Linked DNA regions of Rhinolophus ferrumequinum. The protein of the gene in region 1 interacts with the protein of each later gene in a pairwise test. Links are inferred from orthologs where the notes say so. Each region holds a gene or a part of one and is shown in the gene's direction. Other genes may lie near its edges.

The links.
Region 2: the proteins of zinc finger protein RFP (region 1) and BYSL interact in binary tests that used the Homo sapiens proteins (3 or more experiments, as listed by UniProt). The two-hybrid records come from large-scale screens. The link is inferred for Rhinolophus ferrumequinum from reciprocal best matches to the Homo sapiens genes TRIM27 and BYSL.
Region 3: the proteins of zinc finger protein RFP (region 1) and ILF2 interact in binary tests that used the Homo sapiens proteins (3 or more experiments, as listed by UniProt). The two-hybrid records come from large-scale screens. The link is inferred for Rhinolophus ferrumequinum from reciprocal best matches to the Homo sapiens genes TRIM27 and ILF2.
Region 4: the proteins of zinc finger protein RFP (region 1) and FNDC11 interact in binary tests that used the Homo sapiens proteins (3 or more experiments, as listed by UniProt). The two-hybrid records come from large-scale screens. The link is inferred for Rhinolophus ferrumequinum from reciprocal best matches to the Homo sapiens genes TRIM27 and FNDC11.

Annotation. Positions count from the first base shown.
Region 1 is NC_046286.1:448,670-456,174, reverse strand, and holds the start of zinc finger protein RFP, read left to right. Parts: upstream 1-4,274; 5' UTR 4,275-4,532; coding exon 4,533-4,952; intron 4,953-5,899; coding exon 5,900-5,995; intron 5,996-7,505. UniProt on the Homo sapiens protein: E3 ubiquitin-protein ligase that mediates ubiquitination of various substrates and thereby plays a role in diffent processes including proliferation, innate immunity, apoptosis, immune response or autophagy.
Region 2 is NC_046286.1:11,618,493-11,626,764, forward strand, and holds the start of BYSL (bystin), read left to right. Parts: upstream 1-5,049; 5' UTR 5,050-5,347; coding exon 5,348-5,609; intron 5,610-8,272. Other genes in the region: MED20 (mediator of RNA polymerase II transcription subunit 20), read right to left, coding at 2,350-2,504, 4,851-4,864. UniProt on the Homo sapiens protein: Required for processing of 20S pre-rRNA precursor and biogenesis of 40S ribosomal subunits. May be required for trophinin-dependent regulation of cell adhesion during implantation of human embryos.
Region 3 is NC_046305.1:52,588,700-52,596,708, reverse strand, and holds the start of ILF2 (interleukin enhancer-binding factor 2), read left to right. Parts: upstream 1-4,856; 5' UTR 4,857-4,955; coding exon 4,956-4,960; intron 4,961-5,676; coding exon 5,677-5,736; intron 5,737-5,932; coding exon 5,933-5,975; intron 5,976-6,433; coding exon 6,434-6,538; intron 6,539-7,420; coding exon 7,421-7,498; intron 7,499-7,841; coding exon 7,842-7,944; intron 7,945-8,009. UniProt on the Homo sapiens protein: Chromatin-interacting protein that forms a stable heterodimer with interleukin enhancer-binding factor 3/ILF3 and plays a role in several biological processes including transcription, innate immunity or cell growth.
Region 4 is NC_046306.1:485,237-492,465, reverse strand, and holds FNDC11 (fibronectin type III domain-containing protein 11), read left to right. Parts: upstream 1-4,014; 5' UTR 4,015-4,075; intron 4,076-5,603; 5' UTR 5,604-5,606; coding exon 5,607-6,587; 3' UTR 6,588-6,803; downstream 6,804-7,229. Other genes in the region: tyrosine-protein kinase Srms, read right to left, coding at 1-83.

The DNA of each region.
Region 1 (7,505 bases):
AATGACATCCTTCTATAATCAAGCACTTTTGTGCAGATGGGAGAGAAGTAGAGCAAATGGTTCAAAAAGTTTGGGCATTTAAAAACATGAGCTATTGCCAAATTATTCTCAATAATGTTCTTCCAATTAACATCCCCATAGTGGACTGGAATGCCTATTTCCTTACATTCTCACCAACACTATTATTGAGCTTTTTGATCTTTACTAATCTCATTAATTGAAAGCACCACCACATAATTTTATTTCATTAATAGTGAGTTGGACCTCTTTTCACATTTATTAACCACTTGTTCTTTTTCCCTGTACCATCTGTTCATATCCTTTGTGCTTCCTCATGCCTGCTTTTTACTTAGATTTGTGGAAGTATTTTTGTCTCTCAAGGAAATTCATCCTGTCTTATTTGCTAAAAATAACTTTTCCCAATTTTCCTTTATTGCTTGACTGTTTAGAGCTACTTTTTTTGTATAGAAGTCATTTTTTACTTTTATGTAAATCAAATTTATCCATTTGTGGCTTCTGGGTTTGGGATCATGTTTGGAAAGAACTTCCAGACAAGAATTATTATTATTATTTTATTATCTTTTTAAAGATTTTATTGGGGAAGGAGAATAGGACTTTATTGGGGAACAGTGTGTACTTCCAGGACATTTTTTTTTCTTTCCCAAGTCAAGTTGTTGTCCTTTCAATCTTAGTTCAGCTTCAAGTTGTAGTCCCTTCAGTCTTAGTTGTGGAGGGCACAGCCCAGCTCCAGGTCCAGTAGATGTTGCTAGTTGCAGGGGGCGCTGCCCACCTTTCCTTGCGCCATTTGAGGAATCGAACTGGCAACCTTGTGGTTGAGAGCCCACTGGCCCATGTGGGAATTGAACCAGCAGCCTTCGGAGTCAGGAGCACGGAGCTCCAACTGCCTGAGCCACCTGGCCGGCAGATTATTATTTTTAATCAGTCAGTTTTCTTTTTAAAGAGCTTTTATGGATTCACTTTTTTTTAAATTCAAATCTTCCATTGTCCTAGAATATATTTTGGTATAAGAAGTAAGATGGGATCTTTTTATGTTTTCCCCCAGCTAGCCAGTTGTTCAGATCATTTACTGAATGCGTAACACCAACCTGCAATTTCTCCTTCATCTTTTACTAAATTCTTATTCACATTTAGGCCTACTTCTTAGTTACTATTCTGTCCCTTTGCTCTACTAGCTTATTGTTACTTTAATTATTGTAGCTTTGTGTTTTTCCTGACCATTCTTTTTGTTTTCCCAGACTAACTTTAGTATTACATGGTAAAGGCAGGTAAGAGAAAAGACGATAAGAGGAAGCAGAAATACCTTAGGCCTCATTAGGTCCTACTCAGTTTGGTGCCAAGAAATAAAACCAATCCAAGGAGAGAGGAGTCAACAGTATCAAATGCCTCAGAAACAATAAGATGCAGACTGAATAGTGTCCTCTGGATTTAGCCCATACTTTTAGAAATCACTGGTGTTCTTAGGGCAGATAGGTTGTGTAGAGGGGGTAGGTAGGAATTCATTTTAAAATAAAACGTTTTATTAATAAAAATTGTATTTTATCAGATAGGTTTAGTTTCTGTTGCATATACAGACAATCCAAATAAGTGGCTTAAAAAAGACAGTGGCTTTACTCTCACTCACATAGATGAAATTTGGATGCAGTCACTCTGCAGTGAGTAAGGACCTAGGCTTCTTTACCTTTCACTACATCATGTTAGTGATGCTTTCCATCTTCAAGATTGCCTCATGGTCCAGGACAGCTGCCTGAGCTCCTGCCATCATGGGCACACTCCAGGCTGAAAGAACTTGGAAGGGGTAAGTTTAAAAAGGGCATACTTCTCAGCTGAGTAGACTTTCTTTAAGAAGTTTTCTCAAAATTCCCATCCAAAAACTACCATGTAGATACCATTGGCTACCCACAATCTCAAGACTGTTGAAGTGTGAAAGAAGCTCTGGGTGAGGTAAGGGTGTTCCTAGGAATATCCGTAACCAGCCAGACAAGGTTTCATATTGTAGCATTGCCTTTTTGAATTTACTACAATTCTGGCAGCAAAGGGGCCTGGGAAGTATCTTTCAGCTGGACATATTGCTACCTGGAACAAAATTTTAAGTAAAGAGCGGACACTGGCTATAAAATAGTCACCAATAGTCCCTTTCATGTTGTGTTAAGATTGATAGACACTTACTAAAATAAATAGCTGTACCAGAAGTCCCACACTGGAGGGCAGGAGGCCAATTTTCATCTTGCATAGATGATTTTACAATTTTTAGTTAATAATAAATTTCATATAAAATTTTCATATAAGATTTTTGTCTTCTCTTGAAAATCTGAAAATTGGCAATATGCTGGGCCCACATACTCAATGGTCATCTTCAGCTAAATAGAAATGAGCTGCCTCTCAGGAGGGACATTTTTCCTCCAGTTAGTCACAGTCCCCATCTTTCCCTATTGATTTGACCTGCTCATTTAAATTACCTTCTTGTCTCCAGCAGGCATTTGTGTTTGTACCAGTCATTTTATGAATGAATAAATAACTGTTACAAAGAAGTATGCATAAAATGTGACAGTAGAATCATTAATTATTAGTCTAATAATTCAACAAGCATTTAAGTACTGCCAATCTGAGTAAAGCTATGGAAAAGGTGTAATGGAGAACATAGAAGGGCTGGAGAGGAGCTTCTGTCCTCACAGAGTCATTTAAGGACCTGACCTCAGTTTCCTTATTCATAAAGTGCATTAGACAATGTGAGAGCACACATCATTTACTGTTCTAAACTAACCTTAACGATAGGTAAGAATTCCAAAGCAAAGTCAAAGAAAATCTTAAGATGGAAAATAACCCAAGTATCAGAATCTGAGGTGTTACGTGAGCCTCGGAGGCTGATGAGAGAGAGATTGATGAGACCCACTTGTTTAGGTTAAGCTCCAAGGAAGGACTCATGAGTAGGCCCTGGAGAGGACTGTGGTGAGCACAGCCTGGGCCAGAGCTGGGTTGGCAGCATTGTATGAAGACTGTGAATGGCAGCCGACTTGGAGGCCGGAAGTGCTCAGACTGAACTCCACGCTCAAAGGTTTGGACAATGTCCTGGAAGCAAAAAAGCTTTGAAGATTTCTGTGTGAGAAGTGACTAAATGAAAGGGGGCTGTTCAGGATGATTCTGTCCCTTGCGGTTGTTATATATGCATTCACTCAGTTACTAATTGACTTAACAAACATTTGCAAACTGACATTTGAAATAATTTAGGTCAAAGCGTACTATGGAAATGAAAAGGAACAGAGGCAAGCTGATAAAGCAAAGCAAGGATGTCCAAATTCGATCAAATCTAGAGGATGAAGGACAATACTGAGAAAACAGCAAAGGAAACTAAGAAATACCAAGGTAGGGATGAGGGAGAAACCCAAAAAATTTGTAAACCTACTGGACAATGAAAAGAGCCCAGGTCACCGCAGGATTGAGAAGCTCCCAAGACTTTGGGAAAGAACACAAATGTTTAAGTCCTAGTGACCACAACTCCGTGCAGCGGGTAAACGTCCTTAAGGTTAAACAAGCAAAGACATAATGAAGTCTACCTCCTTGGTGCGGTGCAGTTACTCCCATTTCACCAGAGGAAACAGGCTCAGAATAGTAAACAATCTGCTTAGGAAGTAGTTGAACTGGGTTTATCTGACTCTTTGTCCCACAGGAATGTTGCCGTCTGATTAAGCCTTTCTTTTTTGAAACAAAATTGCGAGTGCCTGTAAATGGAGTTGTTTAATAAAGCGACTCACAAACCGGGTGGGACTAGGTCGGCTACCCCTGTCCCTCCAGGGGAAGCCAGGTGCCTGTCCTTCCCACACCAACGCAGAGCCAGTTTGCTCTCGCCGGAGCTGAGTCTTGAGCACAGAGAGGAAATCCAGCCAAAGACTAGGGGTCCAGGCCCGTGGCCGCGGAAACTCGGCGGTGGGCCCGGAGCGTGCAGACAAGGGCTGCTCTGTCACCGCCGCGCCCCGCAGACACCGAATGCCTGTTACCGGTCACCGAGTCTCGTGCTCCTGAGCGTTCCGCCCTAGGGCGGGCGGCCAGGCCTCCTCGGTTCTCTCCCGGAGGAGAGTCCAGGCCCAGAGGCCACGAAATCACGTCGGTGGCGAGAGGCCCGGGCAAGCCCCGCCCTCGGAGCCGCCTCTTCCGCTCTTGCCGGGTGGGGTCTGCACGGCCGCCGGGATCCGCTCCGACGCGGCCACGTTGTCCTGCCTCTGGCGCTCGAGTCCCACGGGGACGCCCGGATCGCTTAGCGGCTGGGCTCAGCGGAGCCGCAGCCTTGGCGAGCTACCGGTGCTGGGCACCGCGGCGCTGGGGGCCGCCCTGCCGCTCTGCGGGCCAGTGCACAGGCGCGTCTGGGATCTGGGCCCGCGAGGCGCCGCCCTCCGCCCGCCACGCTCTCTGCCCCACGCCGCCCAGAGGCAGCGAACCGGAGGGCGCGCTATAGAGTTGGGCGCCGCGCAGAGCTGGGCTCTGGGGCCCATGCCCCTGCGCCCCCGCGGGCCCGCGCTATGGCCTCCGGGAGCGTGGCCGAGTGCTTACAGCAGGAGACCACCTGCCCCGTGTGCCTGCAGTACTTCGCCGAGCCCATGATGCTCGACTGCGGCCACAACATCTGTTGCGCGTGCCTCACCCGCTGCTGGGGCGCGGCGGAGATCAACGTGTCGTGCCCGCAGTGCCGGGAGACCTTCCCGCAGCGGCACATGCGGCCCAACCGGCACCTGGCCAACGTGACCCAGCTGGTGAAGCAGTTGCGCACCGAGCGGCCGTCGGGGCCCGGAGGCGAGATGGGCGTGTGCGAGAAACACCGCGAGCCCCTGAAGCTGTACTGCGAGGAGGACCAGATGCCCATCTGCGTGGTGTGCGACCGCTCCCGTGAGCACCGCGGCCACAGTGTGCTGCCGTTGGAGGAGGCGGTGGAGGGCTTCAAGGTGAGGGCCCGGCGCGCCGCGCGGGAAGGGGCGGGAGAGCGTGTCGGACAAAGGGAGGAGAGATCCAAAGAGGCTTCCTTTTTTCCGCCTAGAAAATGGCTGAGCAGGTCGTGTGGTTCACAGCCGTCATTTCCTCTCTGTCTGCTGCAGAGCCTCGGCACACAGATTTGGGAGGAAAACCTGTAGATTGAGGAAGCCAGAAGCCCCCCCTCCGCCCCCACTCTCCTTTCCTTATTTGCGTCTGTTTACCGGTTCACGGGCACATAAAGACAGCCCACGGAGCCCTCCCCACTCCCGTATAAAAGATGCGTGTAAAACCACGTGCACATCGGCAAGCCTCAGAGACGCTCGTACTCTGTCGCCTCCTAGTTGATCTCAGACACATTAACTGGCTGTATACCCGCCTGGCAGGTAGATGCCCACCACCTACTCGAGAAGCATTTCCCCAGCACTGCCTGTGCTCCGTTCTGTTCCAGAAACTCATGGAAAAGAACACAACTCTTTACTGCTTAAGTTATTTAACCACTTTGAAACTCATAAGAGGTAACACAGTTATTACGAAGATTAAGTTAAAATGTGGATGGAGCCCCTGTGAACTCTTGAACCAACAGACTAGCACAGTTAAACAGTAACACGGAAACGAAGTCATTTCCTCAGTGTGCTACTGTGGAAGAGCTCCAGTTTAATTCCAAGCCTCCTGGTCCTGTCACCTTTCCACTAGGCCATGCAGTAGGCATCCTTCCAGGGGCAGGTAGTTGACTCAGTTTAAGTTACACACAACCTGCCAAAGGAGGGGTGTGGTGACCCCGTGTGCCTGGTTCAAGGACAGGCTGTAATCCCGGACTTGGCTTCAGGAATGTGAGTTGCATGTGTGATAAGCGGAAGAGCCATGCTGATGCTAAGATCTGCCTAATCCTGAACTTCCCAACTGTTTTTGCTTTTCTTAGGAGCAAATCCAGAACCAGCTGGACCACCTAAAAAGAGTGAAAGACTTAAAGAAGAGGCGTCGGGCACAGGGGGAGCAGGCACGAGCTGAGCTCTTGGTAAGTAAGTGTCTTTGGGATTCACAGATAATATCACTTCTGCTGGTTACTCCTTCTTTTGTAAGGCTTAACATTGTCCAGTCAAGTCTTCCAGACTTCTAGGTGAAGGTGGGGAAGACCATATGGCCGTTGGGAACTAACCTGGAGACCCGAGCATTCCCATATTTTTTGGGGAAAGGATGGAAGAGCTAAGGTTGGGAACCCTGGAGAGCCGACCTATCCAAAGTTTAAACTGCTAGCTTTCTTTAGATCACGGGTGATCCTTGACAGAGCTGACATAGGTGAAATTCTCGGGCACAGCCAGCCTCCTTTGGTACCCTTCTGCAGACACATGCCGACAGTGGCTTTGCATAAGCCCCACTGTTGCTTCTTGCTGGAGTGTTCCCTTTCTTGACAACACTTCAATTCTGAGCTTTTCACTTTGTTTCCTTCTTTTAGTCTCCTAAAGCCTTAGCGAATGGCTAATTTATGACAGGGATATTTGGGGGTTTTGTTTTGAAAACCAAAACAAAAAGTAGAGACTTTTATAATAAACACTTACATATCCACAATCTAGTTTTTTAAGCATTTTTTTGAACAATAAATAGTAAAAATTTCTACCCATTAGGAGTATTTGCATGTGAAAAGCAAACTGTTAGACCAGTAGTATATAACACTATTTTGTAAGAAATTTTGTCAGCCTGGCCAGGGTGTCGCAGAGAACTTGTGGACGGGGAACTTATTCCCATGATATCCTCAAATGCCACCACTTGTTCTGCCCACACAAGCTGAGACCTCAGCTTTCCTTGCTTGAAAGTAGGTCTGATGGATGGAGAATCTTCTAGTGAGCTTGAGTGGAGTCAAATCATTATGCACATGGCCTCTCCTCTGTGGGAGGATTGTCAACGAGGGGAGATAGTCCTTCTCTGATCATCAGGGAACCTGGACTTAGGAATATAACCTCTGTAGGCCTTCAGTTTCCTCATCTGTGAAATGGATAGGTTGGATTAGACTTGTTCTTCAGCAAGGCTAGTACTACCCTCTCAAGAATCAAGTGGTTGGGGAGAGTAGGGCAGGGAGGTTACTTGTCCTGCAATCAAGAAACAATCCCATTAGCAGCCGGACGGCTCAGTTGGTTAGAGCACTATCTCTTAACAATAAGGTTGCTGGTTCAATTCCCATATGGGCGGGTGAACTGCACCCTCCACAACTAGATTGAAAACAATGGCTTGGAGCTGAGCTGCAGGTGGGTGGCTGGTTGGCGCAGTGGTTGGGGCATGGTGCTCAAAACACCAAGGTTGCCAGTTTGAGTCCCATATGGGCCAGTGAGCTGCGCCCTTCACAACTAGACTGAAAACAATGCCTTGACTTGGAGCTCGGCTGCACCCTCTACAAAAAAACCACACTGTTCCCCAATATTCCACAATTAAAAAAACATGCCAGCAGAATTGCCCCCCACCTGGGGGCCAATAGCATGCCCTTGGAGAAGCACTGTATTAGTTGATCTTCAAGGTCTCTTCCAGTGTAAGAT
Region 2 (8,272 bases), about 11 Mb from region 1:
GCAGGGGGCGCTGTGTCCTCCATAGAGGCCCCCACTCCGCTGCCATTTCCTGAACACATCGGGCTCTGCACAAACCTCTCCCACATCCCTCCTGATTGCTTGCTGCCAGTTCATACCTTTCACCGCCTGATAAATCCGGTTCAAACACTTCAACCCTCAAAAAAAAAGACATCGAAGTTGATCTGTCATTCTGTTCTTGTGCAAACTCACTGTGACTACATACTTAATTCATGTAAGTCGGCAGGTGTTCTTGCTATCTTGAAAACATTTTGAAAATCAACTAAGGTTTTATTTTAATAAAGGCACTTCCAGTTGTTTGTATTTTTAATCACAATAAAGTACTTTCTTATCTGCACAAAGCAAGCAGAACCAATTACTGCCCCCCTTTTATAGATGAGGAAAATGAAGCTAATGGACCCAGACCAGCAGCACCCCGGGGGAACTTGTTAGAAATGCAAATGATCCATCCCACCCTAGATCTACTGAGTCAGAAAATCGGGGAGCAGGGACAAGCCATCTGTGTTAACACGCCCTCCGGGAGATGCTAACGGCCAGTGTTAGAACTGCTAGGCTAATGGCAACAGAGCCAGCAAGCGGCAGCTGGAACTTGAATCCACGCCTCTGGACCTAATGTTCACTGCTCTTCCCTTCCTACTCCATGTCCTGCCACGAATGTGTTGTCTCCCCAAACAGACAGTAGCTCCTTGGAAAGAAAGGTCTGATCAGGAAAACAGAGCCCACACCAAGTAATTTCCTGAGAGTAGTTTATCTATATACAAATGTTTTGTTTTCTAAATGCTTTCGTAATTGTATCTTTTGATTATTATGTCCTTCCTACTGAAGGTAAAACAAATGGTAACACTGCAATTTTATAGATGATGGAACTCAGTACAGCTCTTAGCTACCATTAAAGGTTTAGTGTATGACAATCTCAGTTCTAAGTGCTTTGCACGTATTAACTTATTTAATTAATTAGCACAACACTGTAAAATAATTATCTTCATTTTACAGATGAGAGAATTGTATTGGGAAAGGTGCAAAAACAGAGCACTTACTTACCAGATCTTATGGTTTCATAAGAGAGGATTTAATACAGGGAATGAAACACAGGGGTTAGAAGAACTAAAAAACCAAATGGAATAATAAGATCATCCCAAGATTAGCAACACAGGGAGCCACTGCTATCCCTACGGCTGGAAGGAAAAAGAGAAGATGTGCTGTCATTAGAGCCAGGAATGAAGGCTGCCTAGCAGGAGCTAGAACCAAGAAGGAGACACAGCCAGAGACACTCCCCAAAGGAGAGGGAGAGCAATACTGGGGTTTCCCTTTCTCCCGTCCTTTCATCTTCCCCAGTGCCTCTCTGGCCAAAGGTAGCTAAAAAGGGGTGCCTGGTAAATGCAATTTGCAGGGGAAATTCAAGGAATGGATCTATGGGGAAACAGGCAAATGATCAGCCCCAAAACAGCCACAGGTTGCGGGACTTAGCTCAAGTGGGAGCTGGGACACAGTTACCTGGTTGTGTATCTAGACTCGCCATCACCGTGCGATGGAACTGTCCAAGGTAAAGTTACTGCAGAGCCAAGACTAAGAGAACCCAGGTTCCCTAACTCACAGGTTCCCTAACTCACAGTCAGAAATGCTCTTTGCCTCCTTAATACCACCACCACCACCACCCACAGCCCATCTCACCTCTTAATACATTTAAAACAAAAGCTGATTCATTGGTCAAGGTTATGCTAATGAGATAGCTAAGGGCACTGTCTAGGTGTGGGAAACAGGAAGCCTTTCTGCAGAAAGTTCTAAAAACTCTAAAGCTCTAGTAGAATGCTATACAAAGACTTATGAGTCTGAAAGGAGACCTTCTCAAACTTCAGAGACATAAAGAACATCTAGGAAGCTTGTTAAAATGTAGCTTATGAGACGTGCAACACCAGTCAGTTGGCAAGCAGGGCCAAGAAACTGCACCTGTAACAAGTAACCCAGATGATTCTGATGTAGTTAGTGACCAACTCTCTGAAAAACATTGCTTTAAAAGTGCAAAAAGACTTAAAACATAGGCCCCGTCTAAGAGCTAAGTGACCAAGAATTAATGAATTCAGAAACATATCTGCCACCTGTTCAAGAACACCACTCTTGGGGTGGCCCGTTAGCTCAGCTGGTTAGAGCGTGGTGCCGATAACATCAAGTTGCCACATAGGCCACTTTGAGCTGCGCCCTCCTTTAAAAAAAAAAAGAAAAGAAAAGAAAAAAAAAAACACCCTTGGAGAAGAGTAGAAAGATTCCAATGAACACAAAGGCCTATCAGCTCCAAGCCAGGTTCCAGCCATCTTGCAGACCCATCTCACTGACCTTGGCTGCCCAGGGTTGAGGCGGCCGTGTGGTAGGTCTCACAGTCCACACAAAACGTTCCTTGCTTCTCTGCCCCCAGCATCTCCAATTTCCGGGTGAGGAGCTCCACGGTCTGCTGGACACTCTTGCCCTCAGCCACAGGCATCTGGGACACACTGGAAGGGAGAGGACCGAAGCATCAGTACCCAGAGACACACGGGCACTTGCTGGGTCATGTGATCACCCACAGATTCACAGCCCCTCAGGGCCAGAAGTTACCTTAGAGACCACTTACCAGGACCCTCTCGTTTTAAAGAGGAGGCGACAGGGGACCACAGTCCCTGAGAACCAGAGCACAGGTCTCAGGTCACCAGTGCAGTGAACTTCCTACCTATCACCGCAGAAGTTCCTGAGCATGGCATGTGTGCCAACATTCAAGAGAAGATTGTAGGGCACACAAACTGAGCATTCGTTAACAGTGAGTCGTAGAACGAGAAAGGATTTCCTTGCAAGTCTTTAAGTTCTGACTGTATCAAGAACAAAGTCTCAATGGGGGGTTCATATGTTTTTCCCAACTTTCTAACACTTTGAACGTTCACTGTCCAATACAGCAGCTACAAGCCACATGTAGCCATTTAAACTAACAGAACAAATTAAATTACAAATTCAACTGCTCAGCTGCACTACCCGCATTTCCATAGCCACACGTGGCTGGGGGCAACTGTATTAGTGCTGACAGAACACTTCCACCAATGCAAAAAATTGTATTTGACAGCCCTAGGATCTAAGACAAAGCCTCAAGTGTATAAACTTTGGGAGAGGCAATAACACGTACAAGAATTTAATCAAGACAAGAAAGCAAAAAATGTTATTTCCAAGATTTCCTTCTCTGGTGAGTGAAACTGGCTTCCTCCTCAGAGAGGGAGGTTACCAAGCCCCAACTATGTGCCAGACAGTGCCCAACGGCCTTGAGATGAATTAATTATTCTGAATCCTCACAACAGCCCTAGAAGATGTCCTATAATTTATCTCCGTGTTAAAACAAAGAAACTGAAGTACAGAGGGCATGACCAACTTGCACAACAAGGTCTCACACCGTGGTGTGGTGCAGCCAAGATTCAACGCCAGAAGAGCTGGCTCCATGTCTGTGGTCTTAACCAGCACACTAGACCACTTCCCTAGGGATCTAGGTGCCTGTTAAAATACTGTTAAGGAAAAGAAATAGATTTCAATGAAAACATGAACAAGTAAGAGTACAGATGGTACTTAGCTATATAAAAATCATAAAGACAGTCATACGTGACTGACTTTTGGGAGACTGCATTACTTTATTATAATCAATCAACTAAATGAAGCTATCAAGATAGAGTCCTACAGTTGCTAAAAAGTGTTACTACTCTCCACCAGAAAAAGCACGGTAAGTAATGATGATGATGTGCCTTATTTTGAAATATAAGAGAACCCCTAAACTGATGCTCTAGGGTGAGAAGTCCCAAGAGCCTGAAAAAGTTGATAAGGGTCCCCACAGAGAGGCCCTTCCTTCTGTCTGCCTTCTCTACGGACAAAACGGGCTTCCAGGGTTCCCAGCCTCTGTGCTGCAAACTTTTCATTCCCATCCCTCACACATTTCCTTCACACTAGAAAACTTAAGGAAGGCTCGGGATGTCAACTGTAGAAACAAAAGTGCAATCACTGACAAACCTGCGAGAACCTGGGCTACCAGGAGTTGTTCCCGCGGACTTCAGACATCCTGGCCTCCAGCCCTCTGTGACTGGAAATGCTCACACTTACCCATTAAAGAAAAAAGAAAAAAAACGCCCTGAATTTAGCATTTTGTAACTAATACCTCCAAGAGCACTAGGCCCATACCTTTCCTTGCCACTCTGACTTATAACGTTAGTGAGAAGAAAACTCCATAAAAATTAGGCCAACCATCTAATTACACATAGTGTAATGCCTGGACCCCAACACCCTAATTCCCAATAGCTTCTTTTTTTCCTCTCTAGACCCAAGGTCTTACAATGGCCAAACTAGAACCAGACTAGAACCAGACAGGCTCGTCTAACTGCATTTAGTGGCTGTAGGAAGGGGCAGGCGAAAGCCTAAAAACGATAGTCTCCTGGTTGCCTATTCTACACCCGCTCCAGCCCTGCATACAAATAGGTCCTAATTCGCACATCCTATTTCCGACCCTAAAGTTCCACCCTGGGCAGTACTATGGCCTCACCGGCAAGAAGAGGTACCAAAAAAAAAATAATAAAAATACGAAGGAGGTACCCAAACACTGATAGGTTCCTGGTCGCGGGGGGGACCCAGGAGGAAGGCTGGCGTATCTCCAAGGAACAAGGCCCGAGAATCCGCAGCCCTCAGGGTGTCTCCCTCACCCACACAATCCGAGGACATCTTGCTCAGCTCCTAGGGACGGCCGACCCTGCTCCCGACCCTCCTCCCGGGTACCCTCCAGGCTCCGAGGGCCCTTCACGACCCCAAGTCCCGCCCCACAAAATCCCCCGCAGTATTACCAAGTCACTCCCATGGTGTAAGGTCAGGAGGGTGGCAGGACGCAGCAGTGGGAACGCGGAGCCCTCCGAACGCTCACATTGGGGAAGACTCCTCCGATGCAAGCGTCGCGGGAGGAAGGGGTTCCGGAAGTGACGTAAAAACAGAGCGCCTAGTCGTCGCTCCACGAGAATAGGGGCGTGTCTAGGCGCTTCGGTGACGCCTCCAGTGGCATCTCTGCCCGAATGTAGTACCCAGGCTTGCAGCTCTCTGGGCCTATATCCACAAAGCTTAGAGAAGCCAACGTTAAATGCAATAAGTGTATTTGGGAGTCCAGCTCCAGGACCTGTGAGCTCTTAGCGGGCGGGACGGCGCTGACGGCACTCCTGGCCTCCGGACGATAGGGGGCGCTGTGACCTCCGTGTGGCCTCTTGGGCGCTGGGAGTTCACTGCGCAAGCGCATTCAGGACTTATTTTCCGTCTCCACGTGTGAACCTTCCCCGCAACTTCTTGGAGAAAAATGCCCAAATTCAAGGCGGCCCGCGGGGCCGGAGGTCAGGAAAAACACGCGCCGCTGGCCGAGCAGATTCTGGCTGGGGACGTGGTGCGGGCAGGGGCCCGGGAGAAGCGGCGGGGTCGCGGGACCGAAGAGGAAGAGTATGTGGGGCCCCGGCTGACCCGACGGATTTTGCAGCAAGCACGGCAGCAACAGGAGGAACTCGAGGCCGAGCATGGGACTGGGGGCATGCCCGCGGCGCCCAGGGAGCGCATCACACGGCTGGGTGAGTGGCGGGGGGTGGGTGCGAGGAAGAGAGCGGTTAGGTGCGGGTGGACGGGTGTGGGGCAGGGGGAATAGCTTGGAATAAAAAAAAGGGGAGGTCCGTAGCACACGCTAGCAAAAGTAATGGAATGAGAGACCCAGTCCTGGAGCGGATTTAGGGTGGTCAGCACCCTCCACGCCCACTCCTAGTTTTAAGCCCTCTTCTAGGCACCCCTTGAAGTTAGTCCAACAGGAAGTGATTGCTCGCACCACCAAGTTCTAGTATTTATCCGTTTGTTCTATACATACTTAGGGGATGTCTACCACTACGCTTCATTCGCACTGTGTTAGTTTAGATGGTTTGGGTAAAGAAATAAACAGGCTAGACATGTGCCTGACTTGCAGATAGTCTAGGAGAGAGACAATCCGATAGGCAAGTTAGAATAATACATTCCATGATAAAGTATAGTTTCTCTGATAACAGTGGTCTTGGTGAGTCAGACTTCCCAGATTGCATGACCTTTTGCTGAGACCTAAAAAAGTGAGTGGGGCCTGCCTGCTCTGAGCAGAAAGTGCAATGTGGTTTAGGGGCTAAAGAGGGAGAGAGAGTAAGTAAAAGATGGTCAGCATTTTCTTGTTAGGGTGGGAGTGTTGACCCCCCAAGTTGCTTAATCCATTCTTCAGATCTCATCTTTAGTTTGTCCTGACACAATTGAACATTGGTCTCCTGGCTACAGTATCTTTACTTGGCTTCCAAGACATCACATTCTTGTGTTACTACTTTCTTACCTCTCAGTATCTTTTGCCGGTTCCTCTTTTGTCCCCAACCTCTTACTGAAGTGCCACAAGGTTCAGTCTTTGGATCTCTTCTCTTCACTTACTTCTCTGGTGCTGTCATCCATTTCATCGTTTAAATACCATCTATTTGGTGACTGCTCCCTTCTTTATATTCTAGCCCTGATTTCTTCCACGAACCCCAAATTCTTGTATTTCAGCTGCCTATTTGGCATCTCCAGTTTGAAATCTATCTCAAATTTAACATGTTCAAAATAAACCTTCTCGCCAAACCTACTCCTCCCACATTTTCCTAATTTCAGCTAACAGTATGATATCCTTCCGTTTGCTGAAGACTGAAACCTCAGACTTTCTCACGTCACATCTGATCTGTAAGGAAATCCTGTTGACTCTACCTTCAGTTAATGTCAGACCACTTCTCAGCACCCTGGAAAACCATCCTGTTCAAGCCACCACCATCTGTCCCCTGGATGATTACAGTACCCTCCTCATTAATATCCCATACCCCCTACAGTCCATTCATAAGTCAACAGCTAGAAGATTACAAGGGACTCAAAAGTCCTAGATCTGCTGCTGTTGCCAGTCTAACCTCTTCTGCTTTCCCCCTTTGCCCTCTTCATTTCCAGCGTGTAGGCTTCATTATTCTTAAACATGGCCAGTGAGGGCCTTTGCCTTGGCTGTTCCTGTCCTCGTACACCTACAGGCTTACTCCCTCGGTTCCTCACCTTCTCTGAGAATCCTGTCCTGACTACTCTATTAATAATTGTGACCCACCCTTGTCTCCACACTCCCAACTTCTACACCCTGTTTCTTTCTTCTTAGCACTTGTCTTTTCACCTAATATGTTATATTGATTTATTGTCTCTCCCCCGTAGAATAGAAGCTCTATCAGGGCAAAAAGTTTTGTCTGTCTTGTTCACTCTTATGTTTCCAGCCCCCAGAACAGTGTCTCACACGTGGTAGGCACTCAGTGTTGGCTGAATGAACGGATGAATGAATGATGGTGAGGTGGGTAGGAGCCAAGTCTGCAAAAGACTTGAAGGCTGTGCCCGGATTGAAAGCTATCAGAAAGACATTGGGAAACTATTGGAGAATTTGGAGACCAGTTAGGGGATTGTTACATTAATCCAGGCAAGAGATGATGCTGATCTAGGCTTAGGCAGGGCTGTGAAGAATTTGACACCTACTCCATGACGTAGAACGGAATAGAATTTGGTAACTGATTGGGTGTTGGGGGTGAGGAGGGGATGCAGCTCGCCTTCCTCCCAGGTACTGGCTTAGCACTGGGTGGATGGTGGTGCTGTGTAGTTGGATGTGGAACACAGTAGAATGGACCTCGGAGGAAAAGAGTGACTTCTCGGGTTGATGACAGGTGAAGTTTGAGATGCCTGTGGATCATCCATGAGTGGCTATACGGGTGGCAGCTGGAGTTAGGGTCAGGAGCGAAATATCTACCTACAAGTACAGATTTGGGAGTTGTTAGCATGTGGAGACAAACTGTCCCCCCCCACACACACACACACCCCTGCATTTAACTTCTGTGACACACTCCCTCTGTTCTTAATGACCTGTTCATGTGCAGCCTTGCACCTCACTGTGTGGAGTATTACATCCCTTACGAGACACTCAGCCGGCTGTCGAGCCTCCCACTATAATCATTTATTGGTCCATTGGACTCTTAACTCCACTGCCTGGCCTCAAAGCCCTCCGCGGTCTGCCCTCACATTCCCGTATTGCTAGGCTTATTCCTAGCTACCGCCTAACACCGGCAAGCCTTTTTGCCAGTGTTTCCCGGGTTTGGAATGCGCTCCACCTGCTCCCCTGCCCGGAGCCTCACCGTCCTCTGCACTCGTCATCTAAATGCCTATGGTATATACTGTCTCTACCATT
Region 3 (8,009 bases), on another chromosome or scaffold:
GAGACTCTCTCCCCGCTCCTGGGCCGCCCAGTGTCTGCCCCCCTCAGAGAGGCGGCCCTCGCCGACCGGGGCCCCCCGCCGGGATGGGAAGGAGGACTGAAAAGAGAAGAGTTTGGGAGCCACCGGGGGCGTCTTGCGCCCACATCTTGTCCTTTCTCACCTGGTTCCGTCGGGGGAAGAGAGAAAGACTGTTGGTTTGGGATCTCTCGGCAGGACAAGGTGTGAGTGTGTGGAGGTGTGTGCATGGGGGTGGGACAGGAGGGTGACGGGTTTCTGGAAAAGACGTTCAAGTAGGGGAGCCCTGGGACCCAGGGATCCAGTCCATCTAGGATCGCCCCACCCCACCCCGCCTGCCCCAGGGAGCGCATCCGCGGAGAAAAAGGACCCGGTGGAAGGATGAAGTTAACTCTTTAGTTCCCAAATGGTTGTGGGCAAGGGAGGGAGAGCTTGAAGGTGGCTGGAGGGGGGAAGAGGTGTGACCTCAGGGCCGCTCCGGCAATGTGACTGTGTGCGTGTTTTGTGTTGAGAAGGATTGTTAAAATGGGGTTCGTGGTGGCGGTGGGAGATGGTGTTGAAAATGACCAGGAGAGGCGTAATTTGGGGAGAAGTTTTGGGGGCACTTGACCGCTGGGCCGCAGGGCGGGACCGCTGTGGAATCCGTCTGCCCTCTAACGGTCAACAGGCGTCATTGACAGTATTTTGCCGCCAACCTCTCCAAACCTGCGCCTGGGCAGGACCCAAGGTCCCCAAACTTCCTTGGTTTTGCAAACAGTTCCAGGGGACCTCGTACGGGTTAAGCACCAGCTAGATGCTGAGGGCAAAAGAGAGAAATATATGTAGTCGTACCTTTGAGGAGCTCTATTTGGGATAAATAGCCATAATGTAATATCGTTAAGCACCAAAACAGAGAGATGGGATACATTGCATAGAGGCCCAGGTGAGCATTATTTTGCCTGCATCGGAGCCAGGAAAACCTCTAAAGAGAAATAATTAAACAAGGGTAGAAAAATGAGAAAGGTATTTTGTGTAGAGAGAGCAGAATACTGAAGTACGTTTTCTATATATGGAATATTAGGAGAATTTTGAATATAATTATGGTCTAGAGCAAACGGTAGCCCATGGACCAACTTCAGATGGCGGGCATGTGTTGTTTGTCTTGCATTCTCATATATATATATACACACACACACACACATATACATATATACATACATATATATACATATATATTCATATTTAATTTAGTTGCCCACGCTTAAAAGCCAGCATATGGTACATGAATATTTGGAGTTCTGGCTTGTCTTGGAATATTGCAGAGCTGGTAAGGTAGGTCCTGCATCTCTCCCTGAATCGTCAGCTGGAACCAAGTACCCCTTACCTCCTTGAGATGTTTAGTTTCTCACGGTTCTTAGCCACCCTGTTTACTCATTGTCATTACTGGCTGCAGTTTATGTTTACAACCCTGATGTAGGATGTAAGATGTTGGAATTACCTGGGAGGAGATGTCTTTGTTCTTTCTGTTAGTGGGGCTCCAGATTCCATAGACGTAGATAGGAGTAGGAGATTGGGATATATATATATATATATATTTTTTTTTTTAAAGAAAACAGTTTTATTGAGATATAATAACACAATAAACTGTACATATTTAATGTATATACAATTTGAGGAGTTTGGACATATTTACACACCCATGAAACCATCACCACAGTGTCTAGGTAATAAACATACCCACCACTTCCAAAAGTTTCCTTGTGTCTTTGTGTGTGTGTGTGTGTGTGTGTGTGTGTGCGTGCGTGTGAAGAACACTTAACATGAGGTCTACCCTCTTAAATGTCTAAACGCATAAGACTGTATTATTGACTATAGGGAGATGTTTTGTAACTAGATCAACTGGACTTCAGGAAGAGAAGACAGTATACAAATAACTGAAGTCTAGGTGACATCGACCCATTCGTTGAAAAGCTGAAGAAGCAGGTTTTGGGGAGATTATAATAATTTCAGTTTATGGGGTTTGAGGTGCCTGTAGATACCCAGGTGGAGGTGTCCAATAGGTCCTTGAATTAGTGGAGCTGGAGCTCAGAAGAAAAGACTGGACTAGAAATCTAATTTAGTAATTGAGCTCCTCCATCAGCAATAGTGGACCAAATAATGTGTCTAATCCCTGAGCTGAAGACAACTAAAATGTTGGATGAAATCTTTTAAAAATCAAAGCACTAGTAAAACAGTGAGGAATTATTGGTGTGAGAGCAGAAAAGGACAGGAAAATAGAGAGGTGAGACCAGCAGTGGGACTGCTTTTACCCTGGGGTCATTTGCTGGTCCGCATCGGTGGCGGAAAAAAGGCTGTGTGGGGCAAGTGAGACAAAAGTTGGAGTCCAAATGTCCCTAAGGGTGAGAACCCTGGTAAACCACTGTACTATTTGGGGTTAGGTTCCTGGAAGGCTGCATTCCTAGGGAAAACCTAAGAGTAGGTAGAAAATCCAGCTCCAAAATATTCAAAAACCAAAATTCAGAACCAATTGATGGGTTTCACAGCAAGTTAGACTCCACTGAGGATCAAGTAATGAATCAGAAGGAAGGACAGAAGAAATTACCCAGAATGAAGCGTGGATAAAAAGGCATGAAAAACATACGAGAGAGTTAGAGGCATAGAGGATAGCATGAGAAAGTCTGAAACACCTTTATTTGGAGCCCAGGACAGAGGGAAATAATAGGATAGAAGTCATATGTAAACAGATAATGGCTGAGAAACTTAAAAAGTGAGTGAACTACATCAAGCCACAGATTCAAGTTCAACAAACCTCAAATAAGATGAAAAACAATTCCCTATTTAGATCCATCGGAGTGAAAGTGCGGGAAATTAAATAAAAAATAAAGCCTTTAAAATAGTAAAACGTATTGAGTACCCTCAAAGGTGCAGCCATTAGATTGACAACGTTTTTTTCACAGTAAAAATGGAAGCCATAGACAGTAAAAGAATATTGTAAATGTGCTGAAAGAAAATTAGTCCCATCTAGAAACCGATACCCAGAGAAAAAATGTCCTTCAAAAACAAAGGTGACACAAAGACGTTCAGACAAACCACAACCAAGAAAATTAGCTACCAGCAGAGGGGTACTTATTCTCCAGCAGAAGGATCAGTCCAGATGAATGGTGAATGGTTGGAGTTGCAGGAAAGAATCAAGAACGTTAACAACGGTAAATCTAAAGGACCACAAATTTAACTAATAAGCGTTAATGCCTTGTGAGATTGAAAATATATAATTTAAATTCTGTGCACATATATCTTACACCTACCAAGATGTGGAATGCATCTGACCACAAGAATCTTGTACACAAATGTTCATAGCAGCTTTATTCATAATGGCCTCAAACTGGAAACAACCCAAATGTGTTTGCCTGTGTCTCAGCCAGTTGGAGGTCCTGAATTCATCAAGAGGAGAAAGGACAAACAAACTATGGTGTATTTATGCTACTCATAAACAAAAAAATTAATTGCTGATAAATGCAAAACCCTGGAAGAATCTTGAAACGTGTCAAGCAAAAGAAGCGAGGCAGAAAAGAGTACAAACACTCTGAGTCTATTTAAATGAAGGTCCAGAACAGACAAAACTCATCTATGATAATAGAAATCGGAACAGTGATTGTCTCTGTGGGCGGGGCAAAGGGGTATGAACCAACTTTCTGAAGGGATAAAAATTTCTTTATGTTGATCTGGTGGTGGTTACATGGACGGGCTACATCACTCAAAGTTTCTCGAGCTGTAGGCTTAAGATCTGTGCATTTTGTTGTAGTAAATTATACATCAATAAAGTACTTAAAAGAATTACACAACAGCGATAGTATATAATTCTGGAGGGAGTAATGGTGGTAAATAGAATTAAATTATTCCTGCATTTCTCACGAAGACGGTAAAAGTATTACATAAAATTAGACTTTGCTAAATTAAGGATGCACGTTGTAATTTTTAGGGTAACCAACTAAAAGAGTAGAAAAAGAGTGTGTAACTTTCAATTAACAGAGACTGGGAGGTAATAGTGCAAAAGAAGGAGGCAAGTAGGGAAGAGAAAGATTACAGGAGGGACAACGCACATAGTAATATGATTGATTTAAATGCAAATACAGTATATACGTATATGTGGCTGTTAAAACCTCCTAAAAGGGTGAAATCCGTCAGTTTGTAGAGAGGGAAGAAGAGAGATGGGGGAAACTGGGCAACGGGGATGGGTCTGGCCCTTCTGTCCTTACTACTTCCCTGCTCTTTTTCTGAGACCTGTTTCCAAAGCTGCCTCAGTTTTGCTTCTAGTCCCTCACCATCAGTGTTTTCCCCGCTCTGATTCAGTCAATATACTGCCCCCTTTTCTTAAATCCGCTTCTGCGTTAGTGTTCATTGTTGCCTAATTCCTTTCCTATTCCCCCCCATTTCACTTGCTAATGGTAAAAACAGCTTCTCCAGGCTGCTTTTTAGAGGCAGAAAAAAATAGAAAGTGGTGTTTACACTTACTGAAGTTAAAACTTGTACGGTATATGAGGGAGGAAAAAAACATCCGATAGCAGAGGATGGTTTCGATCCATCGACCTCTGGGTTATGGGCCCAGCACGCTTCCGCTGCGCCACTCTGCTATCTGGAATCTCAGCTACTCATCACTCCTATAGAAAGTGTTCTGCGTGGCCTCGCTCACATCTTTATATAACGCCATCTAGTGTCTGGTAAGAAAAATTGTCATTTATCAAGTCTATTCTTATTGGCTACTTCCTGACACACAGGCGTTTTTTATTGGTTCCTAAGCAGGCTTGCCAGAGTAAACCAATAGGCATAAGCGGAGGATTAAGGCGGGAGCCAATCACGCCGGAGTTTGTTGGGACACGCCGGCAAGCCGCCTCTCCAGTTATCGGTTTCTCCGAGGCAAGGGGCGGTTGGAGTGGTCTCCATTGTTCGGGGTTTAGGACGCCATGAGGTAAGGGCACGGGATTCCTCTGGGAATGTGTGGGGTGTTTGACCGAAAAGTTTGGGGAGGGGGACCGAAAGGAGTCGGAGGACCTGGAAGGACCACGTGTCTGGGGGCTGCCCTAAAACCTGAGAACTCGGGGTCGGGGCGAGTGGGAGGTCGGAGGCCGCGGAGGCGGGGAAACCTGGGCCTGGGATGGGGGTGGGGCCCAGGAGTGGGGAGGCGGGTTTGACGCCTGTCTGCGGGGTTTAGGGGAGGGGGTGTCCTCCGATCCCGGGAGGAGCACCGCGCTTCCCCCCATCTAGGCTGAGGAGGCTGGAGCGTGCTCCTCCATCCTCACTGCCAAGTGCCCGGCTGCATATGCCCGATGAACGTTTCGCGACGTTAATGACTCAATGAGCAGTCCCTCGAGTCTCAGAAGTATTAGGGTTGGCGCGTCCCGGGAATTATGGGGTATTTCTTACAGGGGTCGATGTGGGAGCCCCGCCGTCGTTTGGTGTAGTTGTGACTACATTATCCAGAACGAGGGCGCGGGGGTGAGGCTGGCCGTCGGGACCGGGAGACGTGAGGCGGGCGCCAGCCGCGGAGCGGGGATTCTCGGCTCCCAAGGGAAAGTTCAGGGCGATGGCGGCAGGCTGACTTGAAATTGTATGACCGGGGGTATGGTGGAGTGATATTTTTAACGAGGCCGAAACCACGTTCGAGTCTATTTTCGTGTATTCTAGGGGTGACAGAGGCCGAGGTCGAGGTGGGCGCTTTGGCTCCAGAGGAGGCCCAGGAGGAGGGTGAGTGCCAGCTTTAACCTCTTTGCTCTGGTTACTGTCTACGACAGTCACCTAAACAGGAGTTTGGAGGGGCCTAATACCTGCTTTGGTGCGATCCTGCTGTGTGGTTCAGAAACAAAGCCAAAGGAGTTGGACCCATCATGCTAAGTCGCTTGATTTCTGTGGTTCCTAATTTGGGTGGTTTTTCTTGTTTTAGGTTCAGGCCATTTGTGCCACACATCCCATTTGATTTCTACTTGGTGAGTACCATAGCCCCTGTTCACCCGTTGCCATAGAAATGGAGCCTGCACACTCTTCACTTGTGGTTTCCTGGAGCCCAGCATCTCCCTGTAAATGAAGTCAAATGGTGGTTGCAGTAGGAAAAAGGATTAGGGAATGGAGTTGGGGTTTTGAGTCAGCTGTGTGTTGCTTACATGCAAAAACAGTGTAAGCAGGGTGGGTCAGATCTGTGGCTACTGTTGCCAGTGACGTGACTGTAGTCTGAATGTTAATTGTATCTCTGGCCTATCTGTTATTATAAAAGTAGTGACAGCTTCGATTATGGTTATTCCCTCCAGCTTGGATCCTTGTTTGAACATCTTAAGGAGTAAAAACAAGTGTTGTAGAATTTTCTATTTTTATTCTATTGTAGCAACAGAAAAACAACCTCTCCTCTTGGTTTTGAGAGATAGTACATAGTTCTTTGTTTCTGATTTAGTGTGAAATGGCCTTCCCCCGGGTCAAGCCAGCGCCTGATGAAACTTCCTTCAGTGAGGCTTTGTTGAAGAGGAATCAGGACCTTGCTCCTAATTCTGCTGAACAGGTATATTCTTTTGGCTTCCTTCCTGAGATTTCACTAAGAAAGCCAGAGAAGTGAATAATACTGGTGAGGTTACTGTGATCAGAGCCCACACTCCACAGAGAGTTCACAGCGGTCCCCTCTTACAGTGGAGATAACGTCCAAGACCCCACTGGCGGCCTGAAACCATGGATAGTACCGGACTCTATGTACACCATCTTTTTTCCTATACATACGCACCTGTGCTAAAATGTAATTTATAAATGAGGCACAGTAAGGGATTAACAATAATAGAACAGTTATAATATACCATAATAAAAGTTATGTGAATGTGATATTTCAAAATACCTTATTGTACTGTTCTTATTCTTCTTGTGATGATGCGAGATGATACACGCATACATGATGAAGTAAGATGAATGGTGAACGACTGAGGCACTGGCGTGGCCTTAGGCTACTATGGAGAGGGCTACTGGCCGGGAGCGAATATAGTGTGGATATGCTGGACGAAGGGATGATTCACAGCGCGCCATTTAAAACTTATGAATTGTTTGTGGAATTTTCCGTTTAATATCTTTGGACAACAGTTGACTGTGGGTAACAAACCACATAACGCAAAACTGGATAAGGGGGGAGCAACTGATTGTTCTCCTTCTCATTGTGGGTGGAGGGAGAGTGCCAGATGAATATATAAATATTTACAGATGTGTTCATATTTTTATTGGGGAATCTATGAGATCAAACAGTTCTCTTCTGGAATGCTCAAGGCCAGAGGGTCAGAGTGTTTTTAAAGCACTATGTGGGAATTGACTCAGCTTGTATGGAAAGGATTAAGAGGAATATTCAAACTGAGAAGTTGCTTGTAATTTTTCACCGTAGCTTATTTTTGTTTCCTGCTGTTTTCAGGCCTCTATCCTTTCTCTGGTGACAAAAATAAACAATGTGATTGACAACTTGATTGTGGCTCCAGGGACGTTTGAAGTGGTGAGTTTCTGATGACCTAGTCTAGTTGTAGGGCAGCCGTGGTAGTATGGAAATTTCATTGGCTCCTGTCTCTTAATTCTTCTATTATCTATTACCCAAAGCCAAGTCTAAAATGGGAAAATACAATGGAATTCCTTTGTGGAACTGATCTTGGGACAAGACTTACATCATTGTTATCAGCTAGCCATGATGTATCAGGCTTTTCATGTGGTTTTTGGGATATGACTTGACCTCTGCAACTTCTAAGTCTGGGTGATAAAATGCTGTGTTGTAGTTGAGTTTGCAAAGGAAGAAGGCAGTCTTTTCACTTCTTTTTTTCCCCCTGAAATCCTTCTTCCAACAGCAAATTGAAGAAGTCCGACAGGTGGGCTCATATAAAAAGGGAACAATGACTACGGGACACAACGTGGCTGACCTGGTGGTCATCCTAAAGATCCTGCCGACGTGTGAGTGGGCCTCTCTCTGGCCACGGGAACAGACACAGTGGTCGGGCTTGAGGCAGAGGGGTCTC
Region 4 (7,229 bases), on another chromosome or scaffold:
CTGTCATCCGGCGTGCCTGCGGGCCAGATCTTGTCCCAGAAGAAGGACAAGAAGGACAACCGCTTCCTGAGGAAGGGCTCCATGCTCCCGGGGCGTCCGGAGCCCGGTCACCACACTGCGCCCAGGGCCCTGCAGGGGAGGGGACTTCTGACGAGGGAGAAACTGGAAGGGCCGGTGGGACGGCAAGTGTCAGAGCTTCGCTGAGTGTCAGAGTCCATCACTGCTGGCAAGGGGTGTGGGTGACAGGTACTCCAGAGGGCCCCCTGCTCACTTCTGGGCTGTTCAGACCGGGTTGGGACACAGGGTGGCCCTCCAGCCCCCAGCCACATGTCAGCCGCTGCTCTCCTTGACCTCTAGGGTGTCTTGTGGGCAGGACTTGTCCTGGGCTGCTCAGAGGCACTTGGGGCTGGGGCAGGAGTGGCCCTGGGGCAGCCTGGGGGTGGGGTCTTGGGCGGCTGGGAACGTGGGACAGCCCCCTGCCTCCCCAACATGTACCCCTTCCTCAGGCCTAGGAAGGAGGGGGTGGCTGTCCTGCCAGGCGGCCAGTGTGACAAGGGGAGAAGGGTCATGCACAAGCGCACGCCATGCTAGCCCGTGACCTGAGTCCTGCCCTCAGAGGAGGGGTTCTATGAAGGGGCAGCACCAGCCAGTAGCTGCCTAGCCGTGCACTGGACTTGTGTGGACAGTTACCTGGTTCTTCCAACGTGGGCCAAGTCTTTAACATCATAAACACCCCCGTGCAGGACAGCTGGAGTTTCTTATGGGGTGGGGCTCAGTCAGCACAGAGCGGTGAGGGAGGAGGGGGTAAGTTCAGGGCCACCCTGGGGAGGAGGCTCTGACCTCTGACCGCCCTCAGAGAGATGCGCTGGGTGATGTGGGGGTGGCGGGTGAGTCCACGGAGGGCCTGTACCCACCACTTGCTCCTCTCCCCGGACCGCACCAGGCCCCCTGCACACTGAAGCAAGCTGCCCACTGCCCAGGTCAGCCTGTGCCGCTGGGCAGGGCGGGAGAGCAAACCCAGGCCGCCTGGTCCTGGTTCCGGATCCAGGAGGGGTTCAGGGCGGGTGTCTGGGTGTGTGGGCGGTTCCCAGCCCCAGGTAGCTTGCTCCTCCTCCCCCCACAGCAGCCCCTTCAGCACCGGCGTCATTATTGAGCCCACATCCCTCTTCTGACGACTGCAGACCCTCCTTCCACACCCCACACTCAATCAACGCCCAAACGTTGTCACGTTCTGTGAACGGGCCCGACAGAAGTGACAAGTGTCTATCCACCTGCCCCCGAGAGGCAGCAGACCCTGGTGTCTGGAATGCACCCTGGGGGCCTCCCTGCCACCGTTGGGGGAGCAGCTTGTACAATTTGCAAACTGTGACGTGGCAGCGACAGCCACCCACCATGGGCTGAAGGGGGCAGGGGTCCGAGGGGCAGGCTCCATGCAGCTGAGACTCATCCTGTTGCAGAGGATCAGGGAGCGGGGTCGGGAACAAACATTTACAAACACAGAATTAGGGGAGGCCTGGCAGGGCCTGCAGTGCCCGCCTATCACCTGCCTCCACCCCCCACCTCCCCGTATGAGCAATTTGGGTTTTTACAGATTGCTTTCCTTAAATCCCAGACGTACCTGACTCCTCCTAGGAAGCCCCTGACCCACCGGCCAAAGGGAGGGCCCCACTTATGCTGGCCGCGCTCGAGGTCAGCATTCAGATCCTGGAGATGCCCTGTCCCTCAGAGCCAAGGGGTCTGGCCTCTGGGACTGAGGACATTGCTCTGATGGTCAGAGCAGGCAGGGAGAGTCCTCCTCGGTCTTCTGGCGGGGCCCCCTTAGCCTCACCTCCTCCATGGGCCCTAACCAAACCCAGGGCTGGGAGCTAGCTATGTGAGGGGGAGGGCCCCCGGACAGCTCTGGATGTGGTCGGATGACCAGGTTCGAATCCTGCTGTCAGACTCACTAGCCGCATGGCAAGGTGCTGAGCGCTCTGTGCCTCGATTTCCCCATCTGTGAGAGCACTGAGCTCATAGCCATAGTGAGGACTCAGACCAGGTCTGCAGGGTGAGGAGCGGCCATCCCGGGCATTCAGGCTGAGGTTGGCAGTGTCCCCACACCATGGCTTCATGTGTGTTCTGTGGAGGGCACACGATCGGGTCTCTGGGGTCCAGGTGCACCCCTTGCCCCCAGGGCTATGACCTCACGACCACCAGGCTCACCACCCTCAGGGCGCCGGGTCTGCCAAGGGCAGCAGAGCCCAGTGGCTGCAGACAATGGGCGAGACAAAATCAGCTGGCCCATGCCTGGGAGGAAGGGCCCACTAAGAATGCACGTGGCCGGCCCTCGGGAACTATGCTGAGCAGAGAGGCTGGTCCTGGGGGCTTCACGCTGCACGATGCTACGAAGGCTCTCCAAAGGACACAATTGCAGAGATGGACCAGACGAGCGCTGGCCAGGGGCGGAGGAGCCCCAGGGTTGGGGAGAAAGTAGGCGCGGCTACAAAAGGCCAAGTGGGGGCCCTGTGGGGACAGGGCCGTCTGCCTGTGGACTGTCAGTATCACTACCCTGGTGGGATCCTGCTTGGCAGTTCTGAAGAAATAGGCAACGGGTTCACGGGGGGCCCTGTGTGACGTCTCACAACTGCGTGCCATCTACGATTACCTCAAAATTCAGAGTTTAATTTAAAAAAATTAGCGGATGAACAAGAGAGGAAAAGGGCGTGGGGCCAAAGAGATGTCAGAGGTTCAGGACACGCCTGGCGCCGAGAGGAAGTGAGAGCTGCTGTGGGTGGAGGGGCTGCAGTCATCTTCCTCCCTCTGCTTTGCATTTTCCCCCTTTCAGGTGCCAGACTCCCCCACTCAACCTTCAGACAGCCCCCCCCTTCCAAACAAGCCAACCCTGCCCCTCAGGGCCCCAATGGCGGCAGCAGCTCTCGTTTGCTAAGTTAGGGCCCAGGGCGGGGCGAGGAGGGCAGACACAGCCCCACTGGCTCCCTCCCCAGGCCCGACCTGATGGGTGCCTGGCCAGGGGACGATTCCTCCCAGGATGGGGTCCCCTGGTGGGTGGGGGTGCACTGGGGGCAGCTCTGGCCACAGAAGAGTTTGTGAAGAGAGCTCAGGGACAGACGCCCATCCTGGAGAGGCCACCACTCACCTCCGAAGGGGAGGAGACGGGTGACCAGGGTCAGCCCTGCCACCTCAGTCCTCCCCCGGAGGGCCAGGAGTGCCTGGGGTGTTAGGCTGCCCACGGCCGGTGGCAGACCCTGGCTGGCCCGCAAGGTCCCAGAGGTCCAGAGCCCAGTTGGAAGTGACAAGTGGGGCTCCAGAGGCGGAGAACACCTCTGAGGAGTTCCCTGGAGCTGTGGACACCCCGTTTGTCCAGAGCCGCGTCAGGGGCACTGGCGTGGGCAGGCCGAGGAGAGGAAGGGTGCTCTGGCAGAGGCAGGGCTCCTGATCCTGCTGTCAGTTCACATGGTCACAGTCTCTGGCAGCTCCACCCAGGGGTTCTGGGCAGCGCTGGGCCGGAGGTAGAGCAGGGGCGTCGGCCCCCACCCGAAAGCCTGGCAGAAGGGCTCCGGGCTGGGTCCCCAGCGCAGAGGGGTGGCCGGCCTCAGTTTGCTCCTGTCGGTGGAACCCTACTGCAAACCTGGCTTTCAGACCATGGCGGTGGCTCCCAGGTCGGGCCTCTGGTTGCGACGTCCGGAGTCCCCAGAAAAGGGAGCAGAGTCTATGGACAGTCCCCTCCAAGCTGAGACTCGGTTGAGAGGAGCGGTTCCTTTCGTGGAGGTTCTGGGACCAGAAAGCCCGGCCATGGCCGTCTTTTCGCAGCCCCTCAAGTCTTGGGACCCGACAGGGCGGGTCTTCCCCCCACCCCCGATGCCCTGGGCTTCCTCCCACCTCCTGTCCCCCCAACCCCTCACCCCCACCCTCTGCCCCATCCCCTTTCCGGACCCTCTACGGCGTCACAAAGGCCCGCGGTCCCTATGGCAACCCGCCGGACAGCGCAGTGCGCAGCTGGGCTCCCCGGCTCTGCGCACAGTCAAGCCGCAGGCTCTGCCCGCTCCGGAGGCAGGGCAAGTGGGTGCGCTGGAAGGTGGGGTACGGGCCTGCGGAGGCTGAGGGAAGTGGGGAGGCGGACAGGGGGTGGGGGAGGTGGGAGTCGGTCTCGGGGAGGTGGGCGTGGCGGGTGGGGGGGCGAGGGGTGTGCAGGGGCGTCAGGAAGGCGGGGCCTCTGGGGGGCGGGCCAGGGCGCAGGGTGGTGTCTTCCCATTTTCCACCTGGGAGACTGTTAGCGACTGGAAACATTCTGACCTTAGCCAGATCCAGGAGCAAGAGTTCCTTCCAGAGGCCAGAGCTGGACTTAGGCCGCGAGTCCTGGGGTCCTGGTCTCGCCTGACTCCCCACCCCAGATACCCTCTCTGCTGTGCCCAGGGCCTGGTCTGGCTACCCTTCCCCAGGAAGGTCAAAGGCTGGTCTTTAGGGAGGGAGGCAGACTCCCCGACCTTACTCTGCCACTTGGCGGTGCCTTCTTGGGCACGGCACCCGACCTACGGGCTGTCTCTGTAATCCATCCAAGCCTTGGCTTGCTGGGACAACCTGAGCTCTCCCAAGTGAAGCCGCTGGTCCCTGGGCATGGCGGGGACCTGGGAGAGGAGCCAGGGATGCTGGCTTCTTGTTCAAGGAGCCCCAGCTTGCAGGGCCAGTCCTTGTGGACTGGCAGCTTGCCCCAGCTGGGCCTAGGACCACAGCTGCATCCAGCTGTGACGTGCCCTGAGGTGCACTGGCCCCTCCCACTGACACCCAGAGCTGGGAACCTGGGGGGCAGGGAGGCATGGCCCAGAAGGAGGTTCAGGCTCTGGGGTCAATGGCAGGGCTCAATGCCTGGACTGAGGACAAACTCGAAGCATTTTAGCCTCGTGCCCCATCTGTGAGACGGAGTGACAGGATCTTACAACCTCATGGCCTTTTCCTGTGGAGTCAGTGAGCTCCTGAGGGCACGCGAGGCCCCAGGACGTAGCAGGGGCTGGGTAACTAGGAGCTGGCATCGTGAAGATCCTGAGAGCTGAGGCCTGGGGCCAGCCTGCCGCCCATGCCGGTCCTGGTCACCACGGGACTGCCTGCGGGAAAGCCTGGCTCTGCTCTGTACCTGCGGTGAGGTCTGGAGGGTCTGCAGGCAGTGGTGTCCCCGGGATGAGGGGGTGCCTGGTGCTGCTCAGACAGATCACACTGCTCTCGGGAGCCTGAGCAGCACCATGACCCCATTTCAGATGAGGCACTGAGACCTTTGCCAGGCCACACAGCTGCTCGGCAGCTGCCTGTGTGCCCAAGTCACTGTGGCCTCAGGACTCAGGGCCTCAGCCTTGCCCTGTGTCCTTACAAACAGCCGTCAGTAGTGTTTGCCCCTCCATGCCTACTGTCTCCCAGACTAGCAGACCGCCCTGTCGGCCCTGCAGGCAGCCTGTTCCGGAGAGAGGTGTCCCCATAAGCTCCTCCCCCTGAGAGGGACAGAGGGCCTGGTGTAGGGGGCACACACAAACACTGCCCCGGGGGAGCCGCAAGGGGCAGCAGAGGACAGCCTGCTGGTCCCAGCTGACACCCCACCCTCCACTCCACCCTCCCAGACGATGGATTTCCAGGTGACAGGCCTGGACCTGGACAAGAGGCAGCCGGACAGTCCCCAGCGCTTCCTGGACCAGGAGGAGGCCGAGGAGGCCGAGGACGGGCAGCTGCTGGAGCCGCAGGCATGGAGGACCTACATGGAGCACCGCACGGCGCTGCGGGAGTTCCTGACCTCCCAGCTGAGCCCCCAGCTGCTCAGGCGCCACCATGCCCGCGTGGAGCTGCTCCGAAGGTGCTCCTACCACATTGAGATCCTGCCGAAGCACCTGGCCCTGGGCGACCAGAACCCACCACTGCTGCCCCACACCATCTTCCAGCTGGTCGACCCCTGCAAGTTCCAGCGCATGAAGAAAGTGGGCGCCGCTCAGGCCAGGATTCAGCTGCTGCTGCTCGGAGACCTGCTGGAGCAGCTGGACCGCGGCCGCGCCGCGCTGGATGCCCTGCTCGAGTCGCCTGACCCACGGCCCTTCCTGGCGGGTTGGGCGCTCGTGGAGCAGCGGCTGGCGGGCCTGTCAGCCGTGATGGATAACTTCTTGGCAATGATGGTGCCTGGGCGCCTGCACATCAAACACCGCCTGGTGTCTGATGTCAGTGCCACCAAGCTCCCCCACATCCGGCTTCTGCTGAGCACCAAAATGCCCGTCATGTTCGACCGCAAGGAGTCGGTGGCCCACCAAGACTGGGCCACCCTGCGCTGGTTTGTCACCATCCAGCCGGCGGCCCCAGAGCAGTTTGAACTGCGATTCAAGCTGCTGGACCCACGGACACAGCAGGAGTGCCTGCAGCGTGGCATCGTCCCTGTGGCCACCTGCACCTTCGAGATCCATCACCTGCTTCCCGACCGCGTCTACAAGTTCACGGTCAAGAGAGCTGAGAGCTACACGCTGGTGTATGAGCCCTGGGAGGACAGCCTCACTCTGCACACCAGGCCGGGGACCCCCGAAGGGCTGGCCCCCAGTCTGCTGGGCAAGCCGGGCCACCCCTGACCACAGCTTCCCAGAGATGATTTTCTAATATTTATCCATTAATAAAGAGCAATATAAACACACAATTATAGAAACAAAAGTTCTAAAGGTGGAAGCAGCCACATGACTGCTTTCTGATTTGGTGCAGCCCGCCCACAAGACCCAGGACCCCGTCAGCCCCTGGTCCCTTTTCCAGGGGAGACCCAAGCTGGACCTTCCAGAACAGCTGACCCCTGGAGCAGGCCAGGGGCCAGGGATTCGGGTTTGTGCTGGGTCATACGGGTCCAAGCCAGAGGTCAGGCTGGAATGGGAGTTCGCCAGGGAGGTGCATCCAGGCACACCAGCAGGGCCTTCCTCGTCTTAGTGCCTCCGGTCTGCGGCCCAGTTTCACACCCTCACCCAGAACGGCAGCTGCCCAGAGGCCACCGTGGGGCCACGCAGGTCCCCTTCTAGGAGCAGCTCCGAGGCCCGCTTCCTGATTTGGCCTAGGCTGAGCACTGGGCTGTACCCGCCCCACCCCAGCTCACCTGCCTCACTGTCCTGAGACTCACCTGCCGCTCCAGCGGCCGCCTCTGTGCTCAGCTGCCCTCCTTCAGTCCAGCCCTGCTTCCTACCACCCCATGTGCCTTCTGGGCTTCAACACCCCTTCCTCCAGGAAGCCCT